Caenorhabditis elegans: one gene and its partners. The protein of the gene in region 3 purifies or fractionates together with the protein of the main gene of each other region. This does not show direct contact. Each region holds a gene or a part of one and is shown on either strand. Other genes may lie near its edges.

Region 1 (7,148 bases), on a different chromosome or scaffold from region 3:
AAACCCCCTAATCGCAAGAAAAACGATTGACCAACACAGCTGGCCTCTCAAAAATGCGCGCGCGCGGGTAATCTCGGACCACTAACCGAAAATCGATAATTTTCCAAGTCTAGGACCATTGTGTACAGGCAGAGGGAACATAGACGCAGAGAAACAGGGAAATTGACAGGTGGGAAGACGGTCCGTTGGGAGTGTTAGATGACGGGACGCGATAAGGAGACGCAGACACAGTTTTGGGGGCAGACTGTTCGGGTAGGGGGAGGAGGAGGAGGAACGTGGGAAAATTGGCAGCGAGCCAAGGTTAGTTTGAGCCGTCATAACTCTGCGGTAAGTTGAGATATTAAAAAGTTGTCAACTAAGAAAATATAGAGAAAGTTGTGTAAATCATTTTGCCTGTTATTAATTTTTTGTTATATATTCGAGGCCGAACAAGGAGGCGAAGACGAGTAGTTTATTATTACATAACTAAGGAATAAATAGAAAGTTAGTATACATAGATAATGAGTTCACGTTACACGATCTTCATATCCACGTTAAGGGTTAGGTACACGTAGATACCCAACATCTCCCCTCTTCAATGACAAACGAGAGCTTTGGTGAGGAGCCATCCACGAATGTCTTCTGAGGTTCTCACGGACCACCCTCCAGTGTGACCGTCGATATTGCCAATCCTTTGCACACGGTACTTCGGTGTTCACATCCTCCAATTGCGGGTTCCAAGTTAGCCACACTTCCCGTACCAATCGAAATATTTTTGATGTCTATCCACCCTTCACCAACAGACTAAAAAAACGTTGCTGCCTGAATATTAGACCCAACCTTGAATCATCCACACTGATTCCGCCTGTTCCACCATCAACCTGTTGTATCCCAGTTCCTGGTTGTGGATCATGTTATGACCAATAACAATTTGTGCAATCGTCCAATGACTGAGCATTTGAAACGCATAGGTGGCCTTCACTCGCATCTTCAAAAGAGTTGAGCAATGATTCCTTCTTCTTTTCGACTTCAAACCAGAAGCCGCTCCTGTCCACCTTGACTGCAACTGCAGAGAGCACGGCAGGTGCCTCTTCCCAAAGCTGACCTGATCCACCTCAGAGGTCTTTTCTTCCCAGTAGACATGTGTAGATCAAAACAATACCTCAGAGGTCTTTTCTTCTAAGTAGACATGTGCATGAAGTCAGTGGTGCAGTGAGCCCGAAAGATCCTGATCGCCAATGTTATATATTCGAGGCCGAACAAGGAGGCGAAGACGAGTAGTTTATTATTACATAACTAAGGAATAAATAGAAAGTTAGTATACATAGATAATGAGTTCACGTTACACGATCTTCATATCCACGTTAAGGGTAAGGTACACGTAGATACCCAACATTTTTTATTAGCTTTGATGCTTTTGGAGATATTTAAGTTTTAAAATTGATAAAAATCAGGTAACCTGTCCCTACTTAGAGCTATCATAACTATGCTCAAAGTTGAGCTACAAAAAATTTGTAAATTAACAACTTATAGAACAATTTGCGTAGATTATTTTGTTAATTGACAATCTTTTGCTAACTTTTGTAGATTTACAGATATTCAGATTTTAAAATATACCACCTTCGTTGAGCCGGTAACTAGCAAAATATAGAAAAATTTAGGAACATTTTTAGTACCAAAAAAACATTTTATTAAAATCCACGCAACAAATTTCAGATTATCAAAAACACGACAACAAGACATAATTGAAAAAAAAAATTAGCAAATTGAAAAATCAGTCCTCCAATGGTAAAGCGCTTCCAATTGGCATCACTTCGAAGACCAGGCACCAACTGACATGTGGCATAAACTCCAAAGGGTCCAAGTTTTCAGTTCTCTTCTTACCGTAGACATTAAGCTCGGATTCATAGGTCAGCGGGATGTTGAAGCAGTGAGGGAATTCGGTGCAGCTGGAAAAAAAGGAAAATTTGGGAAGAGTCCAACTTTGGAAGTTTATAAACTAGTATGTACATTAGATAATTTTAGAATATTTAATAAAAAATTATAGTGAAAGTAATATTTATTATTTTGCCAGTAAACAATTTTCCATCAAGATATAAGCCTCCATAGTTGAGGTGTAATGCTAAACTTCAAAAAAAAATTTTTGCATAAAATCGAACCTGCGCGCCGCAGAACAGGTTCTGCCACAGAAAAATTTGAAATTGTAAGTCAGAATTTTTGCAACGCATTTGCAACACGAAAGTTTTTGTAAAAGTTGTTAGAAATTTGAGTTTTAGTTTTTGGATAATTTTGCAAAAAAAAAACAACTAATTTCGAAAGAGCATAACTCAAAAACCCAACTACTTTCATAAAATTGCTCAACTGCAAAACCGTTGCAAATAATAGCATCTACAATCTTGTAGTTGACAACTTTCCACTAGCTCTACCAGGAGAAAAGTTACAGCGGCCGACACTTCACGGGCTTTTGAAAAGTTCGAAAAAGCACAAGTGAGGTAGTTTGTATCTATTTAAAGAGCCTCAAACTCAAATTTCGATGTATTACATATCAGTGCAATGTTCAAATAAAAACTAAATGAAGATTTTTTGTCGACTTTTCCCTAAAAACATGGTGCATCGGAGCTCCAAATTTCCAGCTGGTGCATCGATGCATCCTGAATTTTGCGAACTTACTCTACTCCCTCCATCCTCTTGCTCACAACCATCGGATGATCCCCGAGCAAGTTCAATGTGGATTGGGTGGCGTGATACTGCTTAACACCAAACGTAAAGCAGGTCCCAATACTCTTCGGTGTCTCGATCCAATTATCAATCAGCTGCACATAGTCATGATGGAACAGTGGACTATGAAGCATGTAGACATTCTTCTGTGGAAGCTTCAGTAGGAAAGGGATCCAGGCAAAGTTCTCCCCAAACATTTTCTCAGTTCCGATAACCAGACGCTGGGTGGCATGGATAACTGGGTGGTCGTGCTCTAGAGGCATATGCAAGCTCTTGAAAGGCAGAGTGCTCTCGTGGAAAATACTGTTCAGACCATCCCAAAGCAGTCCGAACTCCGTACCAAATCTCATATTGGAAACTTTCACTTTAAAATTCTCGGGGAGTCGGTAGACCCCACCTGCATCACCAAGCTCCAGGGTCTTTATCACAATTGGGTGAGCTCTTTTTCCGAACAACTTCTCTGTGATATACTTCATCGCATCATACATTTTCTTGTTATAATCCAGATACTCAATGATCCCATGGAAAGTCTCCCTGTCCCGCCTGAAGTCTAAGTTCATCCTTTGGAATCTGATGCCAAATCTGTATGGAGCTGGTTCATTTTCCTCTCGCCAGCTGTATGGATTCGTGTATGCTTCGAGTTGGTCGGTGACTGCTGGATCTATGTCTGGCTCGTCTTCGGATTCAGATGCTTCGGATTCTGAAGATGAATAGCGTGCTCTTGGGAGGTAAGCGTCGCCGAGGATACGCCGGATCTGAGCTTCCTGGGGGTCATCGTCTTCATCATCTGATCCTTCTGCTGGAAGATCTTCTGCTTCATCCTCATCATCTTCGGAAGAGCTTTCAGGGTCTGAAAAATATATTTTTGAGATTTTCCGAAACAAAAATTGGCCGCCGAAACACTTTAAGCTATCATATTTCAGCTAGAAATCAAGCTATCACAAATTTGTCAACTGAGATAGTGCTCTAAATTTTCTTAAACAGCAGCCGACATATCACTGGACTCCTTATCACCTACCTTCCCTCTGCTGCACCTGCATCCGCCCCTGTGGTCTTATAAAATCCCGCATTGCAAATTGCAACATCTCCATTGTCATATCCTCCATATTATTAATTTTTTCCTTGCTTTCAACTTTCAAATCTCCAGGGCTCAAAACCTCATTGCAGCGGGGATCCTTAAGCCCATACTGATCCATATCATAGGCAGCACCTCCATCTAAGTTCACATTGTTGATATATGGACTATAGTAGACATGGTCTTTCGGTAGGTGGCGGAGCAGTCCTAACGTGTACCTATGTCGGTTGATTCGGATGACACGGGGATTCATGTAGAGCTTGTAGATGTGGAGGGGAGCAGCTTTGTCGGCTGCTTTTAGGGAGTCACATCGTTCCACTAATTTAAATCTGGAATATTTTAAGTAGGTTGATAGGTGTTTAAAAGTAAAAATAATATTGGTAGCTGCCCCACTTCTAGGAACGGCTCAAAATTTGAGCAAAACATGGTTCATCGACAGAAAATTGCTTAAGTTATTATACTTCTACCGAAGCCCGTTTTAATAAATTTTTACACAAAGAAAATTGAATTTTGAGCTGTTAAAGTTGAGGAAAACATGATGCATCGACTGTAAATTTATCAACTTTTGCTCTGAAAAAGTAACCTACTAAAATATATTCCAAACTCTTTTTAAACTTTAATAGCTTTTCAAAAACTTTTTTCAGCTCTACAATCAGAATTCCAAAAAAAAATAAAAGCATACCTCCTATTAGCTTCAAAGAACTGTAGTACACATTTCTGGCACTCATATGGGAGTGGTGTTAAGCTCATATGTAGGTATTTATTACCTGTAAAAAAGTGGGAAATTGGTGCGAAAAGTGAGAAAAACGTTGAAAGAAACGAGAAAATTGTGAAAAACTGACAAAAAATGACTATGATCTAGTAAACAAATTTCCAAAAAGTAGTAAAGCTGCATTCGAAAGTAGTAAAATATTGCCAGAGTGTAGCCAAAAATAGCAAAATTTCAACGAAAATATAAAAAAATAGTCGAAAAATAGCTAGAAATAGTCCAAAAATTGTCAGAAATCGGACAAAACAGCCAAAAAATAGTTCAAAACTTGTGGAAAATACCCAATAATTGTCCGTCTTCCCCCTATTACATACCCCCGTTGGAGAGGCAATAGGGACCATTAGACTACCCTAAATAACTAGGTGACCTCTGTCCATCTGTCGCAGACGGGGCGGGAATGTTTATCTCTGTTGACCTTGAGCATCGGTCCTCTATAGAGAGCCTACACGTACCCGGACTACTTGATGTGAATGGAGAATTAGAATAAAAGAGATTCTATAGATTTTTTTTGTGAAAAATTAGTTCAAAAGCTCATAACTCCGCTGAAAATTGAGCTATTGAAAAGTTGTCAACTACAAAAATATTTCAAATTAATTTTCAAACATTTTGTTGGTGGAAAACTTTTTGCTAGCTCAACTTTCAGCTGAGTTATGATATTTTTAAGTTGGTATTTGAAAAATTTTCATGTGAAAAATCAATTGAGGCTTCTATTTGACAAACTATTTTAGGGTAGAGGGGGGCAAGAATCATGCTGGTTTGGACCAAATCTGACCTTGATACTAATATGTTGTTTACAACATTTGCCGTGTTTGCAAAAAAAAAACAGGCAGAAAATTAACTTTACGCTGGAAAATTGGTAGATATTGGGTCGCCAAAAATGCGAAAAAAAGAATGAAAATTGATCTTCAGTGCCCTTTTATTCGGGTTTATCATGGTGCATTAGCACAGGCTTCCATTTCAAAATTGGCCACATCCATTGAGATGTCGGATGCTGACTTTAATATCAACTTTGTTTGCAGCCGACACTTTCCCGGTTCCTTTCAAAATGTCGAAACAGTAGAAGACATCTCACAAGATTTTTCAAGCTTGTATTAACAAAAAATCAACCAAGAACCGCAGCCGACATTTCCGGGCTTTCAAGTGTTCCTATATTAAATCCGTAAATTGCACACTTGACAGAAATAAAAAATAAGGGCACGTTTTCGACATGAGGTGTCCCGAGAAATGTGACTGCACTTTGAGAACTTATATCTTAGCTTAGGATTGGCGTTTTTTTTTGAGCAATTTGTTTCAATAGCTCCAATCATATTGAGGACCGCACTTTTTGAACATTATGGCCACTTTTAACCTCAGCAGGACAGGCCAAATGCTATTTCATTTCACTCAAATCCAAAAATCAGGGATAAGGGCTGCCTGCTTACTCTTAGAAACTTTAGGCTTTTTCTATCCCTACTTCCAGCAGAGCAGGCTGGAGGACTTTTATGAGACTACGTCTGTATTTGAAAAGATCAGTTAATTCGGATTGAGGGCTGCAGGCCCAAATACACATAGAAGTATTGGACAATCTTTAAGCCTACTCTGAGCCCAATAATCCAGGTTGAGGGCCGCAGGCCCGAATACACGGATAGAAAAGACCCAGAAATAATATTATCTCAAATGACCATGGCTCAATCAGTTTTCATTCAAAATGATCAAAATTTTCCCGAGTTTTCCAACTTAAACTACTGCGAAGCCTAGCGCGCTTGACGCGCTAGTCAACAGCGTGGAAAATGCGTCTATCGGTCATTGAGACATGGAACTAGTACGGAAATTCAAAAAAAAATTAATTAAAAATTTAAAAGAACACGTTTCCACGTTTTAACAGTATAAAAGAGAGAAATATTCGAATATTTGATCTATTACTCAACATTATGAACGGCTACAAGTCCCTCCTTGTGTTGGTCACCGTCTTTGTTGTCGCACATGCCTATCAAACAGGGTATTACCCTTTGAAGCGTTTGGTTTCCGATGGTCCCTGGCAACCCGTCTCATTGTGCCCTTCTGAAAAAGTTTTTGGGATTCAAATCAAGTACAACGTCAATACGAGCGACGTTCCAACAGGGATCGCCATTGTGTGCGATCGTAGTAAGCATTTATTTACTGTTTTGGAGCATGTAATTGAATTTTCAGGCAGAAGAGCTTCGAACTCTCCAGGAGAACGCCAATGGAGCAGCTCTCAACGTTGTCCCAATAAACTAAGAGTGATTGGATATTCCCTTCAAATTGAGCCGAACAACACTGCCGGAGCTAACAATATTGCTGTTTTCTGTGGAGATGGTTCTGAACCGAGAAGCAAGAGATTCAATCTGACAGGTTTTAACAGAAATGTTGCTTGTGATATTTAAAATTGTGTTTTAAGGAAACGCAGATCGTGGCTTGTGGACAAGAGCTCAATTCTGTGAAGCGGGTCACGTGGTGTGTGGAATTGAGTCTCAATCAGATAAGCCAAACAATGTTAACATGGTCTGTTGCTCTCCTTGGAAAGTGTCCACCCGTGGCACAACCAACACCAATAGAAATATCAAAGCCCATGAAACTACCCGAGGATTCACCCAGCGACCCACCGCA
Region 2 (6,438 bases), on a different chromosome or scaffold from region 3:
TTTGAGCAGGGACGGAGCCCAGCTATGATTGCACGTACCAAACAATTTTTATACTCCATCCCACAATGTATATCCATCATCTCAAAAGTATACATTCCGTCTTCCTCCTCCTCCTTCTCTTTTTACTCCAACATCTCCCGACCATCATCGTTCTATTATTTTTCCCGTTGGATTGGCACGAATTGGTATACCCAAATTGGTACACTTCTTACGACTAACAATGAACCCGTCACATACCTTTCCTTTTTCTTTTAATAGTATGCATCAAGGGATGGAAGGACTTAGATTGGGAATCGAAGAAGAAGCAACGTCTGCACTTTCAGGATTCCTCTGAATGCCGCTCCTTGTTTGTTCTCAACCGCACTTCCTAGTCTACTGTTACTTTTTTACGCTCCATGGGTCACACGTGTACAAGATTGTCTGCGACCGTTGGACTCGGTGTGGGGGCTCGATGGCAGGAAAATTGCTGGCTCGCCGTGTAGCAGGAAACACCAAACTACGACAAGTCTAGGTATTCAAAAAATATGTTGCTGTCAAATTTTTTGAAAAGAACAGCTTGATAAAGTTCTCTTTCAAAAACCGTTTTACTGTAAATCATTGAGCTTTTTAATTATAAGTTATTTCCTTCAAGAGATTGCACTTCTTAAAATGTTCGCAAAAATTGTATTTCAAACTCGGAAAATTCAATTGTTTCTTTTTCTGATTCAATTCAATAATTTCTATTCATTTGTGATCCCAAAGGCAATTAGAGATTTTTTAAAAAATAAGTTTTCTGTTTCAAAACTTTTTCGAATTGAACTATTTCACCAATTGTCAACATTTATTTACAACGAAAGTTTCAGCCATTAAATTTTATTTAAAGTGTTAAAAAATGTTTTTCTTTCAAAAATAGAATATTGCCGAATGAGAAAACTGTTTACAGTTACGTGCTCATAACCAAACTTAAAAACCAGAAGTATCAAAATTTTTATATACATACAGTCACAATGTGTCAATTAGTCAGTTCTTCCACTAACAGATTTGGAAAAAAACATCGATATGCAAATTTGCCCTATTGTCCAAATCAAATCACACATTTTCCAAACAGGACCATTAACCAGAGTATTTCTTTTTTCCAATTTTGCGTTCAGTAAGTTTTTCATTTCAAAAGAATCTTGATTTATTACACCCGTCAATCAAACAACTGAAATTTTAAAAAATAAGAAATGATAGAAAAACTGTACATATGTGGATAAGATCTATACACCAAGTCCCAGAAAATGGACGCACTGTTTCAGACCGGTGGTTTCAATTTCATCTTTCTCATCTATGTCACTATCAAAGTTTCCATAGTAATCATCAGTATTGCCAGACGATTTTTTAGATGAATCAGAAGTTTTTGAAGGTTTCTTCTTTTCGTCGATCTGATCGTAGTAATCAGGAGATCGTCTGAATCGCTTGATCGGATTGAAGTCCTGAAAAAATTTAGATTTTAAAAATTCAAGTTGTTATTCACCTTGAGGAAATTGAATTTATCTGTCGAGAAGAATATTCCATTCTCCAACTGTGGTGCTTGAATCGGTTGTAAAATTAGTGAAGGCACAGATTTGAAAGCAAGCGGCGGGGCTGGTGGAATAGTTGGAGGCGCGAAAAATGGCATTTGAGTCCAGCTAGAGACAAGATCATTTCTGATTTCCAGCGGTTGTAATGATTCTGTAAATATTTTAAATATAATGAAAAGCTTACTTGAAATAAACATACTTGTCTCAGGGTTGCTACTCCACGTTTTGGATCCGTGTGCTGTTTGCACGGGAATCACCGGGGTAATAGATGGGGTATCATAATCCGCCCAGCGCTTCTGAAATTGTTAATAATATTCTCATTGTTCTAAAATGAGAAAAAGAAAACCATACTCTATTATCATCGTCTTGTAATTGTGCAGGATCGTCCATCATTGGTTTTTGAGGCTCATCATCAGTAGGCTCATCAAAATCGGGGATCGATGTCACTGGTGGTTCTGTGGATGGAGGTGCACCGCCTTTTGCATCTGTTGGCTTTTCAATAGATGTCATGAACCTGAACTTATTTTTTCTATAAGTTTCAATGTTAAAGCTAACATACTTATCAATCAATTGGAATCCCTTGGAAAATAATTTACACTGCGCATCATCCATGCCTTGTTCTTTGCATACAGCGTGAACTGCATCAGAGTTACTGGAAATTTGATTTACACTTTATTATATTTGTTTTTTTGTTTGCACAACCGTACCTGCTGATAGTTTTTCTAAGCTTAGCATCTCCAAGTATTTGAGCAGCAAGTTGTATATTGCCAAATGTCGGATCTTTTTTGAAGTTTTCAGCAGAACACGAAATGAATCGGCAAATACTGAAATTCCCAAAATAAAAAAAAATGAAAGTTCCAAAACATTCGAATTACTTACTTGCTATTCCCCTTGCAAAGTGGTACATCATCTAACGCAGTTCTCGAGTGTGATCCCAAAATTGATGAGTCGCGCATATCATCTTGAGTTGGAGCGTCCTTTAAAATTTCAATGTATTATTTGGAACTAATTTTTACGCGTGCTCGCGTATGTCATTTTCAAAATTTTTGAAGCATTGGAAAGTTCAGAATGCTCAAAACTACTGAATTTCGTGATAAGACGTTCTGAAATTTTTTTCAAAAACGGTATGGCGGTTCTAAATTTTGAATAAAATGTAAATTTTCACTAAAATCTCAAATTTTACTCGATTTACTAGAAATTTTGCGCGACCATTTGTGGATGTAAGTTTTTATTGCGTAATTTTGTAATTACGTCCTGTTTTTTGATTTAGGCTCTGATTTTGTCAAGTTTGCAAAATTGGAGATTTTAAAACAGTCATTTTTTCAGTACTTATAACCGCCTTCAGTAATTCTGAGGAATTTTGAGTACGTCTCATTACAAAATTCGGAGGTTTCTAGCTATTTTGGGTTTAAAAATCGAATTCCCAGATTGTTTTACCTCACCGTTTAAGCTTGCAAAGAAGCTTACAGGCAATATTGGTGATTCAATTTATATCACCTAATTCGATCAGTTCTGGAATTGACTCTGATTTTGAGCTTACTGGTTTAAGCTTACTGGTTTAACTCACTGGTTTTCTAAGCATTCCTTCGTTTTGAATAGGTTTTGAAGTGTCAAAGATCGGTCTCACGAGACTTAATGCGCCGGATATAATGTCATCAATTGAAACTGAAAATTGTGAAAGATTGCTTAGGTTTACAAGGACGCTAAAAATAAAACTTACTTTGCCTTTTGCTTCGCTCTGATAATACTACAGGTACCAATAACAGAAAAAGTAAGTAACATTTCATCTGGAAAAACGGCTTTGTGATCACAAAAAATTGAACACCTAATTGAAAAGATAAAGAACGAGGTTAAGGATAAGATCACGGTGACCGATTTAGTGAGAAAGAGACGAAAATGATAAGAAACGGTGAATAAAATGATATAGTCTTTCACTTTGGTGGGTCATGAAGCATGAAGCAACTACGATCCAAGACTGGATCAAGTGATTAAATGATGCGCCTTGCGACATACTCATGTTTAGTGAACTTATTGAAAAGGTCGCCTGACGCTTCTAGAAATAACAGTATTAAGGATGAACGTCCGGAGGTAAGCGGGGGAAAAGTTTTCCTAAAAACCGGTCAATTGCGAGACTCGTCTGCGCATCCGCGTGTTCCAACCATATTTCTAATATATCTCCATTCAACAAGCGCATAGGGAGATTCTCTAAATTTCGCTTGCGCAGGGTTGATCGATCGATCGAATTACTCCGGTTATAGTAGGACACTTCGCCTCCAATCCGGTGATGCAATTCATGGATAGAGATGATAGAAACAGCAAATCACAGCGGAAAACAAAAAAATCCACGCTCGCTTCATTGCTTCATGATTGGAAAAAGGTAGTTCAAGTTCAAGGCCGACAAAAAACAGAAAAAAATAGATAGAGAGTGAAAGTAAAAAATATATATAACAAATTTTTAATACTACAGCTGGTTTGCATGGTATTCTGATACATTTGCATAAACCGTTTTTTTTTCACTTTTTTTCTGAATACGTGCGTAATGTTTGTCTGGCTTGAAAGTACACAGAGAGAATGAAAAAAAAAAACAATTCCGATTGTGATATGCATGTTATTCATTCAATGAAAACGTGTACTTTAAAATGTTTTAAATGACAAAACACCAGATAACCATAGATTTAAAATCGAAGTTGTTAAATAAAATCACAGAAGTGAAAAGTAAATGAACATGAAACTTCATCTATTGACATTTTCTGCGAGTACACTGCCCATGTTCAATTGGAACCACAGTTGTTACACAGAACAAGACAACGGCGGCAGACGACGCACGGAACCGAATTGGGAAGGGATTGAAGATTCCCGCCTCAAAGTGGTTTGGATACTGAAAATAGACATTTTGTAGATATTGTTCTCCAAATTTCCTAAATTCTTGATACCTGAACATTTTTGAACAGTGACTCTTCAAGGCTACATCCCATATCATCAATAATAGGGTATGGCTGGAAACCTGGCTCATCCGAGCTCAATGTGCAATTTACAACTTGGAGGCAATTTCCAGTTATTGGCTTACACTTTATTTTATAGTAAATCTCGTCGTCAAGAGATGCTCCTGAAATTTTTGAACTTTTTGAAACAATAACAGAGGCTGTTTGACAGACATTGTATATGTTTGTAGTTTTTTACAAACTTCTTTTTTTTTTAAATTCAAATTTGTTATTTTCTGAAACTTTTTTCAAACACCAGAACTAAAGCATACCTGAAACAACTTGTCCATAAGGTCCCTTTTTGTGAATCGAAAAGTCGCACGTTATACTATTATCAACAGTTTTCGACAACAAGTTCGGTTTTTGTTTTGACTTATAGATGGATAGCGTGGGCGCTAGAACGCTAAGAAAAAGTATGAATACGAGAAGTTGGTTGGACATTTGTATGCTGGATCGATTCATTCCATTCTGGAGATACCCCGATACAAGTAGGTCATTGCGTTCGGAACAATGTGTTCTTCTTGATTTATTACTTTTCGTAGACGATAAAACATTTGAATTTTTTGATGTACAAGTTAAGAAGTAAGCATAATTTAGGATACATTTTATTTACAGAGAAACAAAAAAATGAAGGAATGAGGATGGATTTTTTTCTGAAAGATTTATAAAATGAGTATTGAAGAGAAGAAGATACTCGTTATAAGTACATTTCCATCTTTCAATTATTGGCAAAATTCGTACAAAACATTCACAGGACGGGAAAGAAAGTGAAAATATGATAAATAACTATAATTTTTGAACTACTTTACTATTTTAATCTATTTCTTGGTTGACATTTTCATCATATCGCTGACCATATCATCCAGGCTGGCAGAAGAGGATGACGAACCAATTCCGTTTTTTGAAACATCGACTTTGGTCAAGTTCTTGTTCTCCACTTGGCGTATTGGTTGTAAAACTGAAAAAGGAAAAAGGAAATGAGATTTGAAAAGAGGATATCATTTGGTTTGGGCTGATTCCTTTGATGAATCATTTAGTGATTCATGAAGAGGAGGTTGTAACAAAATGAATACATAGCAAATGATAACTGCGTAGAGGAACAAACCGTACCAGCTTGAGAAGATTCGGCGGAAGGTGTCGTGTGTCGGAGCATCAGGTCGTCAAAGTCAAACAAGTCTCGTGAAGATTGGGATCGTACCTCTGGTTTGTGCTCAGCTGAAGACAAATTATTTTTAACATAGGGAAATATATTGGAAATTATTCGTAGCTGCTCAAAAACATATAATGTTGTCAGACACTTGCAAAATTTTCACAGAAAAGCTTTCAATATATTCAGAATGTTTGGGAGAAAGTTTCCAAGTTTTGACAGGAAGTAGCCTTATTGCCTTCATCTAAGCACCGTACAAATCATCAAAAATTTTAATCTGGTTTGAAGGTCCCCTTTTAAATGACATAGGATTCGTTTGGAATTCAATTGCTGTTCAATTGCTTTCCGCAGTTTTCAGTGTCCTAAATCTTACCAGTTCCTGGCCAATTCTGTAAGGATAACAGATCTTCGCTATGTTTTGCAGACAAATTGTGTGATGCTGACTCGCTAAACGGATCGAATACGTCTTTTTTCGAAACATTCACCGCTGGCGGTGCTTGACTAAAGTCTCCCCAATCGTTTGCAGAATCATTCTGAGAACTATCAGTCGGCCATGAAACTTTGAATGTTGCAACTGGGGCTGCACGAGGGCTTGCTGTTGTGGGTGGTCTCGGTGGTGCGTTTTCTGAAAATATACTGGCATTAGAGAAGTTTCAATCAATTCATTCACTCACTCTCTTGCTGTTGATTTGATCTATGTGTTTTTGGCACAAGCTTCGGAGATGTTGAAGGGTGCCCGGGGCGTGGTGTAGTATTTGTTGGCTCCATT
Region 3 (7,544 bases):
ATCACTCGTAATGGTCTCGTTAAAATGAAAGATTCCGTACTTTTACTTGCTTCCTTCGAAAAAACGATGGATCACTTGTTTGAAGCTGCATTTTTCTCTCAACGTGACGTGGTAAGTAAATTTTATAGTTTCCTATTAAAGTTTATAAATCGAAAAAATAAAAACCCAAATATTTTCGATTTTTTTTAATTTGTTTTAATTGTAGAAAATTTATTGAACTTTTTTTAGATTCATGGAGTTTCGGAGTGTATTATTATGGGAACCCCAATGACTGTCGGAACCGGTACATTCAAATTGATGCAGAAATACGACAAGAAAGCCGTTCTTAAACAGAATTCGCCGATTTTCGAACGTCTGAACGTCACTCTTTAATTTGTTCGATTTAATACTTTTTCTTTACCACCCAGACTTTTACTCATTTTTGTTATTTAGATACCTTTCTTTATATTTAACTTTTTTGTTTCAACCCGTTCGCTTTTTTGTTATTATTTTTGTTGTTGTTGAAAGAACATAAGTTTATTGATTTCATAGAATTCGTTATCACAGTTTAACGAAATGGGCGCAAAGAAGTTGTAGTGCCAGGACGACTTCTCGATCGTTTTGCAATGGATTTAGCAGATTGAGACCGTGCGCGAAGACTGAAACATAAGGTTAATGATTTTAAACTTGTATGTAGGCAGAAAAATCAGCTTTTGAAATTGACAGGAAACGAACTCCACGGCTAATTGAATAAGCTCTACCTACGAACGTTTCGACTTATAAATCATTAACAACGGAAAACATTACAAAAAAAGACGACAAATATTTAGGCGAAATTAATCAAAAACGTTTGAATTTTTGGGTTTGCCGCCAAATACCTAACGAGACCCATTATCCAAAAGCGGAGCTTTCAATTAGCCGTGAAGCGCGTTTGCAATTTGATTTCAAAAGAGGCATTAATAACAAAACTAACCGATTTCCATTCGACGATCTCACGAATTGCCTTGGAATCAAATTACTCGGTGGAAGCCATGGAATCGGCGGAGCTTCAATAAGCACAAAATCGGCAATAAACTCTCGTTCCGATTCTTTCAATTCAATCCATGTTTCGTATGCTTCATTAGCCAACGACAATCTTGTCATTTTTTCAGATTCTTCCAATTGTTTTTGAACTTGTTCCTTTTTCAACTTTTCAGCTTCTTCATTCAATAGTTCTTCCTTTTTCCGTTTCCTGGAAAAATATTTCGGTTTCAAATTTTTAACAAAGCTTGGCTTCTCGTGGCTTTGTATTATTACTCATATTCGAAAATTTGCGATTTTTGCCCCAAGAAACAATACCTGGTCTTGAAACGACTGCTTTTCTCAAATGCAAAAGAGTGTGCGCCTTTAAAAAGTACTGTAGTTGACAACTTCTCGTTGTTGAGAAATTTACAGTGATTTTTTTATACTTGTTCTTCGGTTTCTTCAAAACTCTTTGAAAAATGGTAAATATATTAAAATACATAAAATACTGAAGAAACGGGAGAATAAAACTACAGTACTCCTAAATTACACACGCTCTGTTTAATTCAAGAGAACAAATCGTTTAGAGACCTGGTACCGTACTTTTGGAGCAAAAATCGATAAATTTTTCATCTGTGCATAATATGATCCACAAAGAATATAGAAGGATATCACAAAAATTGTTCAGAATATGCAGATTATATGCGAGAAAAAACTCCAAAAAATCCAAGATATCGGTGGAGCCTTCTTTGAGATTTCAGCGAACAATCACTAATTGTAGAATTAATATTGTAAAAAACCATATCATATTCTTCGGAGCACAAACGAAAAGTCACTTGTAGTTTATCAATCCGTAAAACTAACCATGCTAGAAAAGCTGCCTGTGCTTCTTTGATCTTTTCATTTTTAGCTTCTTCCTCTTTCTTTCTTTTCTTGTCTTCTTCTTGCTCCAGTTTCTTTCTGATATCTGTTACAGATTTCGAACGTTCCCGCTTCCACATTTCATAATTCTAAATTTCAATTATTTATTAGATTTATTTAAAATGTTGAGTACCTTTTCAGCTTCTTTCAGTTTCTGATCTTGCGTTGTTTTCTCATTTTCAGATTTTTTCCTTTCTTGTTGAGTTTTCTTCGATTTTAATTCCTTCGCTTTTTTATCATGATCCTGAACCCATCTTTGATACAACTTTGCAGAGTTTTCACGACGTTCTTTCTGAAACAAAGTTGGTTACAATTCCGTTTAAAAATATTAAAACTACGGTACCTCCGTTGCAGCTTTCTGCTCTGCTGCAGCTTTCTCTTTTGCCTTTTTCTCCCGAATTTCTCTTTCCTTCTTCTGAAGCCATTCCTTGTGATGAGCATCAGAAGGTTTATTTAACTTGGACCCGCTGGAAAATCAAAATTGGCAGCTTCCCCTCATGTAATTAAAATTTAAGAAAATAGCTTACAACATAGACATTTGCATCATCTCTTGATCTTTGTCTTTGATTGTTTTTGTAGACAAATTTGCTGAGGTCTGAGGGCGAGGTCGAGGTTTTGGTTTCGGAGCATCAATAGAAATCGAAGCTTTCAGTGTTTTCTTAACTCCACTTGCAGGCCTTTTAGTTGTCTTCTTAGATTCAGATTGTTCCAATTCTTTATCCACTCTGAAGGTTAGACTCGGATCTTCATGATCTGTACTTGTACCCAATGAATTTTCCGACAAGTCTCTATGAAACTCGGTGATCTCTACAGCATGCGTTGAAAGTTCTTCTGGCGATTCTTCTACGTGAATTTCGAGACAAGGACGAGACTCTCTGAAGTAAACTCCAAATTAAAAATATTCAATGTTTCTAAGAACTTACCGTCTCGGAGAATCAAAATGAATTGGAACAGATGTAGTTGGTGTAGATGTTGCATCCATTGTAGAAATCAATGAGCGACGCCTGATATCATTTCTGAAAAATTATGATTGCTGAAAAATACTTAAAGGTGAGAATAGCTCACAATTTCTTTATAAAATCATCATCTGAATTTCGTCTAGCAGCAGTTGATGACGTAGCAGATGAAGAAGATGTTAGAAAGCTCAATGTTGATCCATTTCCATTCTCCAGTTGAATCGGATCCTGAAAATTATTCCAATTATCACAGTTTAATTGTTACTGAAATCTGGCATTGGACTGAAATTTTTTGAAATTCCTAGAGATTTTTCTTTTTTCGTTAGCTAGGTTTTCTACACTAGAACTAACAATTTTTTAAGTTATTGGAATTCTTTGTAACAGGTATTGGCAAAATCATAAGACGAATCCACTTTTTATGGCAAAAACGGATGTAGACAATCATTTTTGTGACCTTACTTTGAAAGTGCAAAATATTGCACTTTGAACTGCCATTTCAGACACGTTTTGTGAGCACACATTTATCACCTTGATAGTATGATTTTGGTTTTTCTAGGGCTTACATAGTAGACACTTGCCTGCCTAATCCCTGCCTACCTATATGCCTACCGCCTATTTCAAGCACGTAGAAAAAAGGATTTAGTTTTTCCGAATAGTGAAATTTTTTTTAAAATAATTTTAATGTCAAACATACTTTATTTTCTTCATTGCTTCCCGATGATTCTCTACCATGTCTTGTTGGTGGCCGGATCGGAGAGTTCAATGCATTCTTTTCAGCTCCACTTGAGCCACTTGATGTTGTGGTTGTTTCTGATTTTCTACTGATTCCCAGAATCTCATCAAGGGTCTGATTGACACTCAAATTACGAGATTGGTGTAATTGATATTCGCCCATTTCACTGGAACATGTTGGAATCTATGCACATATGTATTACATTCGGAAAAAAACAGAGAAAAAGAAAACTAGAAGAAGTAGAAGAAGATAGGTCGAGATGGAATAGAAGAAGATTACAATTTCTGAAAAACAAAACCCACGGGACGTCTTTTTGTTTGTGTGCAACCTCCTGATATTGTCTGAAAATCTTGAATATCTTATTAGTCGCTCTTCCCAGCAACTAAACAAGAAGACCTTCGTTTTTGTCTTCTTTCTCTAAACCTCTTATAATCCTCCATTTCTATCTTATTCCTCAAAGAGACATTTCGCACTAGTAAATGCTTTCGGTTGCCATTGGATACCATATGACAATATCTCTGCGGTCTCTACGTTTTATTTAATATCTCGATATGCACTAATTGGCTGTTTCCGAAATAGAAGTAAAGGGATAGAGAGAATGAGAGGAAAAGAAGGTTATTACCAAGGGAACAGGTGAAGCATATGTAAAAGTATACGTATCAAATAATTAGAGAAACTACTGATATCGGAAAATGCGCAACTCTCAAGCATAAATAAACGGATAGGGCCGAAAGGGGAAAAAGTGTGAGAAGCACAAATAAAATAAGAATAGGAAATATTAAATAAATTTCTGAAAAACAACAATAAAAGAAATATAATTTCTAAATGAAAACCGGATAAAAAGCACACTATCCGCAGAGTGAAATCACAGATGTTATTCCTCATATCGTGAGGAAACTATGATACTTTGATCATGATGATGATATATAAAATATGATATTTTGTTTCATTTCCTTAGATCACTGGATGATATCTGAGAATGTAAATGGTTGAAAAATGCGATTATTTTATTTTAACTGTAGGAATTTATTCTATAAACAGTGAATGGGCAAAAAAAACACCAAAAAATTTATTGGTAAATACAAAATCAAGTAGTTCTAATTCAAAATTGATCCTTGAATGGTGGGCACGCCTGTTAGTTGGGGACAATTCCTACAGCTGCCTTCTTTTCTTTGTCTTTCTTCAAGTCCGGACGCATCACAGTGAAGGAACACACCTGTAATGAATAGTTGTAAACAATTTTTTAAAGTTCGTTAAAGTAACTAACCAATTCTTCATCCACAGTCATAACTGCCGCAGCGTTGTCCATTTGTCCACAGTATGATGGCGCCGAGAAGATGGTGACGAGTTGCCGATCAGCAAAAAATTCGTAGCCATCCATGACGACTTGATGGGCACGAACGACAAGTTCGAGATGATGGGTGTTCAGGAATTTCTTGACTGCTTCTGCTCCAAAGACACGACCGGCTCCACGTTGCGACTCGGCGTACATTTGAATGGTGGCATCCGGATCAGCCCATGTCAGGTCAGCAATGACGCCAATATCGGGAACATCGCAGGGACGTTCGACTTTGTCAAGTTGTCTGTAACCAAAATAATGAGCATAAACCTTGATTGCCGAAATTTCAAACCTCAAATCCACCAAATCCTCGGAAATTCCGCCATGCATACAGATGATCTTGTCGCTGACTACTGCACAAAGTGGCATGCAGTAGAATGCCAGTTGGAACGCATCGTAGAGAGCATTTGAAAATCTTTTACGGCATTCCATAAAGAATCCGTATTGCATGTTAACCGGGCGACTCTCATGATTTCCTCGGAGCAAGAAAACTTTGTCCGGGTGGAGGACTTGATAGGCGAAGAGCAATGAGATGACCTCGATCGAAAACGGTCCTCGATCAACGTAGTCTCCCAGAAAGAGATACTTGGTCTCTGGAGGCCATCCATTCAATTCCAACAGGGCCAATAAATCCTCGTACTGCCCATGAAGATCTCCGCATATCTTGACAGGAGCCTTCAGCTAAAGAAAATTAATTTTTTAAAAGAATTTTGCAGTCTGTACACACCTCTAACTTCACATTGTTCTTCCAGAAGACTTCACGAGCACGATAACAAAGCTGGATGAGCTCCTTCTCATCGAATAGCTTCTGGCAATGTCCTGGAGTCCATCCTTTCAGTCGCTCAACAAGATTTTGCAACCATGCAACAACTTTTAACTGAAAATAACAATTATTTTGAAAGTCAAAGAAAGTTCGAAAACTCATTTTAGAAAAAGTCAAATCACGTACCTTTTGACGATCCTGTCCCGCCATTTTCGCAGCCGAAGTATCGGGAGTTGCCATCGTTAAAAAGATTCAAACTGAATTTATATTCCGATCAATCTTGATAAATGTCATTGGACGCGTGGAATGTCATACGGTTAGATTTTGGTTAGATTTCGAAGGCAAACATGAAGTTCACGTAATTTATAACTAAATCTTTTACTCAACATTGTTTTTATGTTTAAAATGTTATTATAATATGACCATTCCATTGCTAAAAAATATTATTTAATGTCTAAATTTCAATTTTTGCAATTTTTTAAAAACACTTATGCAAATATAATTACTTTCTCTCCTGCTATAAAATTAGCCAAAAAACGTCTGGCAAGTAAAAATACTGACTAATTAGATTTAAAAACGGCAAAATTTTGTTAGTTGAAAATATTTTTCCGTAAAAGCGAGAGCGAATAGAATATTGGCACAGTATATACCAAATTTGGGTTACACTTTCCCGGTTTTCAAAAAATGGTCGAAATATAAACATTGCGGGTGGTCGTTTTTGTAATTTTCCCGGTTCTCAAATAAAAACTACAAACTTTCAAAAAATCATTCCCCTTTCAACTTTATTTATACACACAATACATAATTTTCAGAGAAGTTTTCATAATCACAAATCTTATTGTGATAATTCTTCTATTCAGCAGCTGACAGCTTGATGATCGTCTCTCCACAGCACTCTCCAGTTGGCAGTCCATTGGCAAATACAGCCTTGGCAAATACAGCCATCACGGCAAGTCTGCTCAACGGCAGCGAATTGGATAACAAGCTTGTCGGCCTGCGGCTTTCCTGGCTGAAAAAAATGTTTAATTTTTAGGCCAGGCGACAACTACTACATACCTTTCTAGTGATGATCAGATCAGCGGTATACCCAATCTGAATAAGTCCAAAGATAGTGTTGACACTGTAGTTGGAGTTATTGGAAGATTTTATCTGAAAATTCAATTGACTTAATAAAATGTGGATTCCATACCTTATAGGCCAACATTTTGTCGCAGTGATTAATGATCTTGTGCGTAGAAACACCACCATTGGCTTGGATTGGGCAGACTGGCGGATCCAACGATAACTCGACTCCCATTTCGATGTAATTTTCTCGAACTGATTCAAATTTCGATTAATTTTATTTTTTCCGACAGAGAGGGAGGGGGGGGGGGGGATTTTTTATAAACGTGAGGTTTGCACTTGCGAAATTGAAAATTTAAAACAAATTTCTTTTAAATTTCTGCGTAAATCCAAAAATTTTAAAGCAACTTTAAATACTGTTTACTTCTCAAATTTTGAAGATCAGCTTGTGCTCGGTTCGGCGGAAGTAAGAAAAAAGCGAGCTCTCATCAGTACATCATTAAGTTTTCTGTACAGTGATGGCCAAAAATTTGCCCTTTTGATTATTTGAGAATAACTATTTTTAAAAGTTTTTCGTTTTAACTGAAAGTAATCAATAATATTGAAATTATCAAAACAAAGTAATTTTAAACATAGTTTTCCAAAATCTGAAATATATTGTTTAAAAACTATAAATTTCCCAAAATTCGAAAGTGAAAGTTAACTTTTTCGGAAAATGGGAATCTTGTGAACTGGAATGTTTTTGTACTTTTGGCACGTAAAAACTTGTAGAACATTTTTTCTGAACTT

What was found.
Region 1: the proteins of maph-9 (region 3) and fbxc-51 fractionate together in Caenorhabditis elegans (co-fractionation; one large-scale study listed by BioGRID). This does not show direct contact.
Region 2: the proteins of maph-9 (region 3) and F46G11.2 fractionate together in Caenorhabditis elegans (co-fractionation; one large-scale study listed by BioGRID). This does not show direct contact.

What each region holds. Positions count from the first base shown.
Region 1 is NC_003280.10:866,205-873,352, reverse strand, and holds fbxc-51 (F-box C protein), read right to left. Parts: upstream 4,540-7,148; 5' UTR 4,523-4,539; coding exon 4,455-4,522; intron 4,102-4,454; coding exon 3,716-4,101; intron 3,548-3,715; coding exon 2,650-3,547; intron 1,929-2,649; coding exon 1,754-1,928; 3' UTR 1,654-1,753; downstream 1-1,653. Other genes in the region: alg-2 (Protein argonaute-1), read right to left, coding at 87-141; Y46B2A.3 (Fibrinogen C-terminal domain-containing protein), read left to right, coding at 6,452-6,665, 6,711-6,893, 6,940-7,148.
Region 2 is NC_003284.9:5,785,053-5,791,490, reverse strand, and holds F46G11.2 (uncharacterized protein), read right to left. Parts: upstream 3,331-6,438; 5' UTR 3,329-3,330; coding exon 3,262-3,328; intron 3,207-3,261; coding exon 3,109-3,206; intron 2,519-3,108; coding exon 2,421-2,518; intron 2,366-2,420; coding exon 2,249-2,365; intron 2,194-2,248; coding exon 2,101-2,193; intron 2,056-2,100; coding exon 1,893-2,055; intron 1,838-1,892; coding exon 1,741-1,837; intron 1,693-1,740; coding exon 1,496-1,692; intron 1,455-1,495; coding exon 1,239-1,454; 3' UTR 1,146-1,238; downstream 1-1,145. Other genes in the region: F46G11.6 (ZP domain-containing protein), read right to left, coding at 4,279-4,419, 4,475-4,647, 4,795-4,963; gakh-1 (Protein kinase domain-containing protein), read right to left, coding at 5,341-5,480, 5,633-5,737, 6,043-6,294, 6,344-6,438.
Region 3 is NC_003282.8:7,153,113-7,160,656, reverse strand, and holds maph-9 (Protein maph-9), read right to left. Parts: upstream 4,030-7,544; 5' UTR 3,894-4,029; intron 3,758-3,893; 5' UTR 3,754-3,757; coding exon 3,553-3,753; intron 3,087-3,552; coding exon 2,968-3,086; intron 2,919-2,967; coding exon 2,826-2,918; intron 2,778-2,825; coding exon 2,430-2,777; intron 2,370-2,429; coding exon 2,246-2,369; intron 2,195-2,245; coding exon 2,036-2,194; intron 1,992-2,035; coding exon 1,846-1,991; intron 1,211-1,845; coding exon 953-1,210; intron 639-952; coding exon 548-638; 3' UTR 501-547; downstream 1-500. Other genes in the region: rpc-1 (DNA-directed RNA polymerase subunit), read left to right, coding at 1-111, 229-372; C34D4.2 (Serine/threonine-protein phosphatase), read right to left, coding at 4,727-4,807, 4,859-5,174, 5,223-5,611, 5,658-5,807, 5,880-5,933; C34D4.3 (MSP domain-containing protein), read right to left, coding at 6,550-6,702, 6,750-6,842, 6,883-6,990.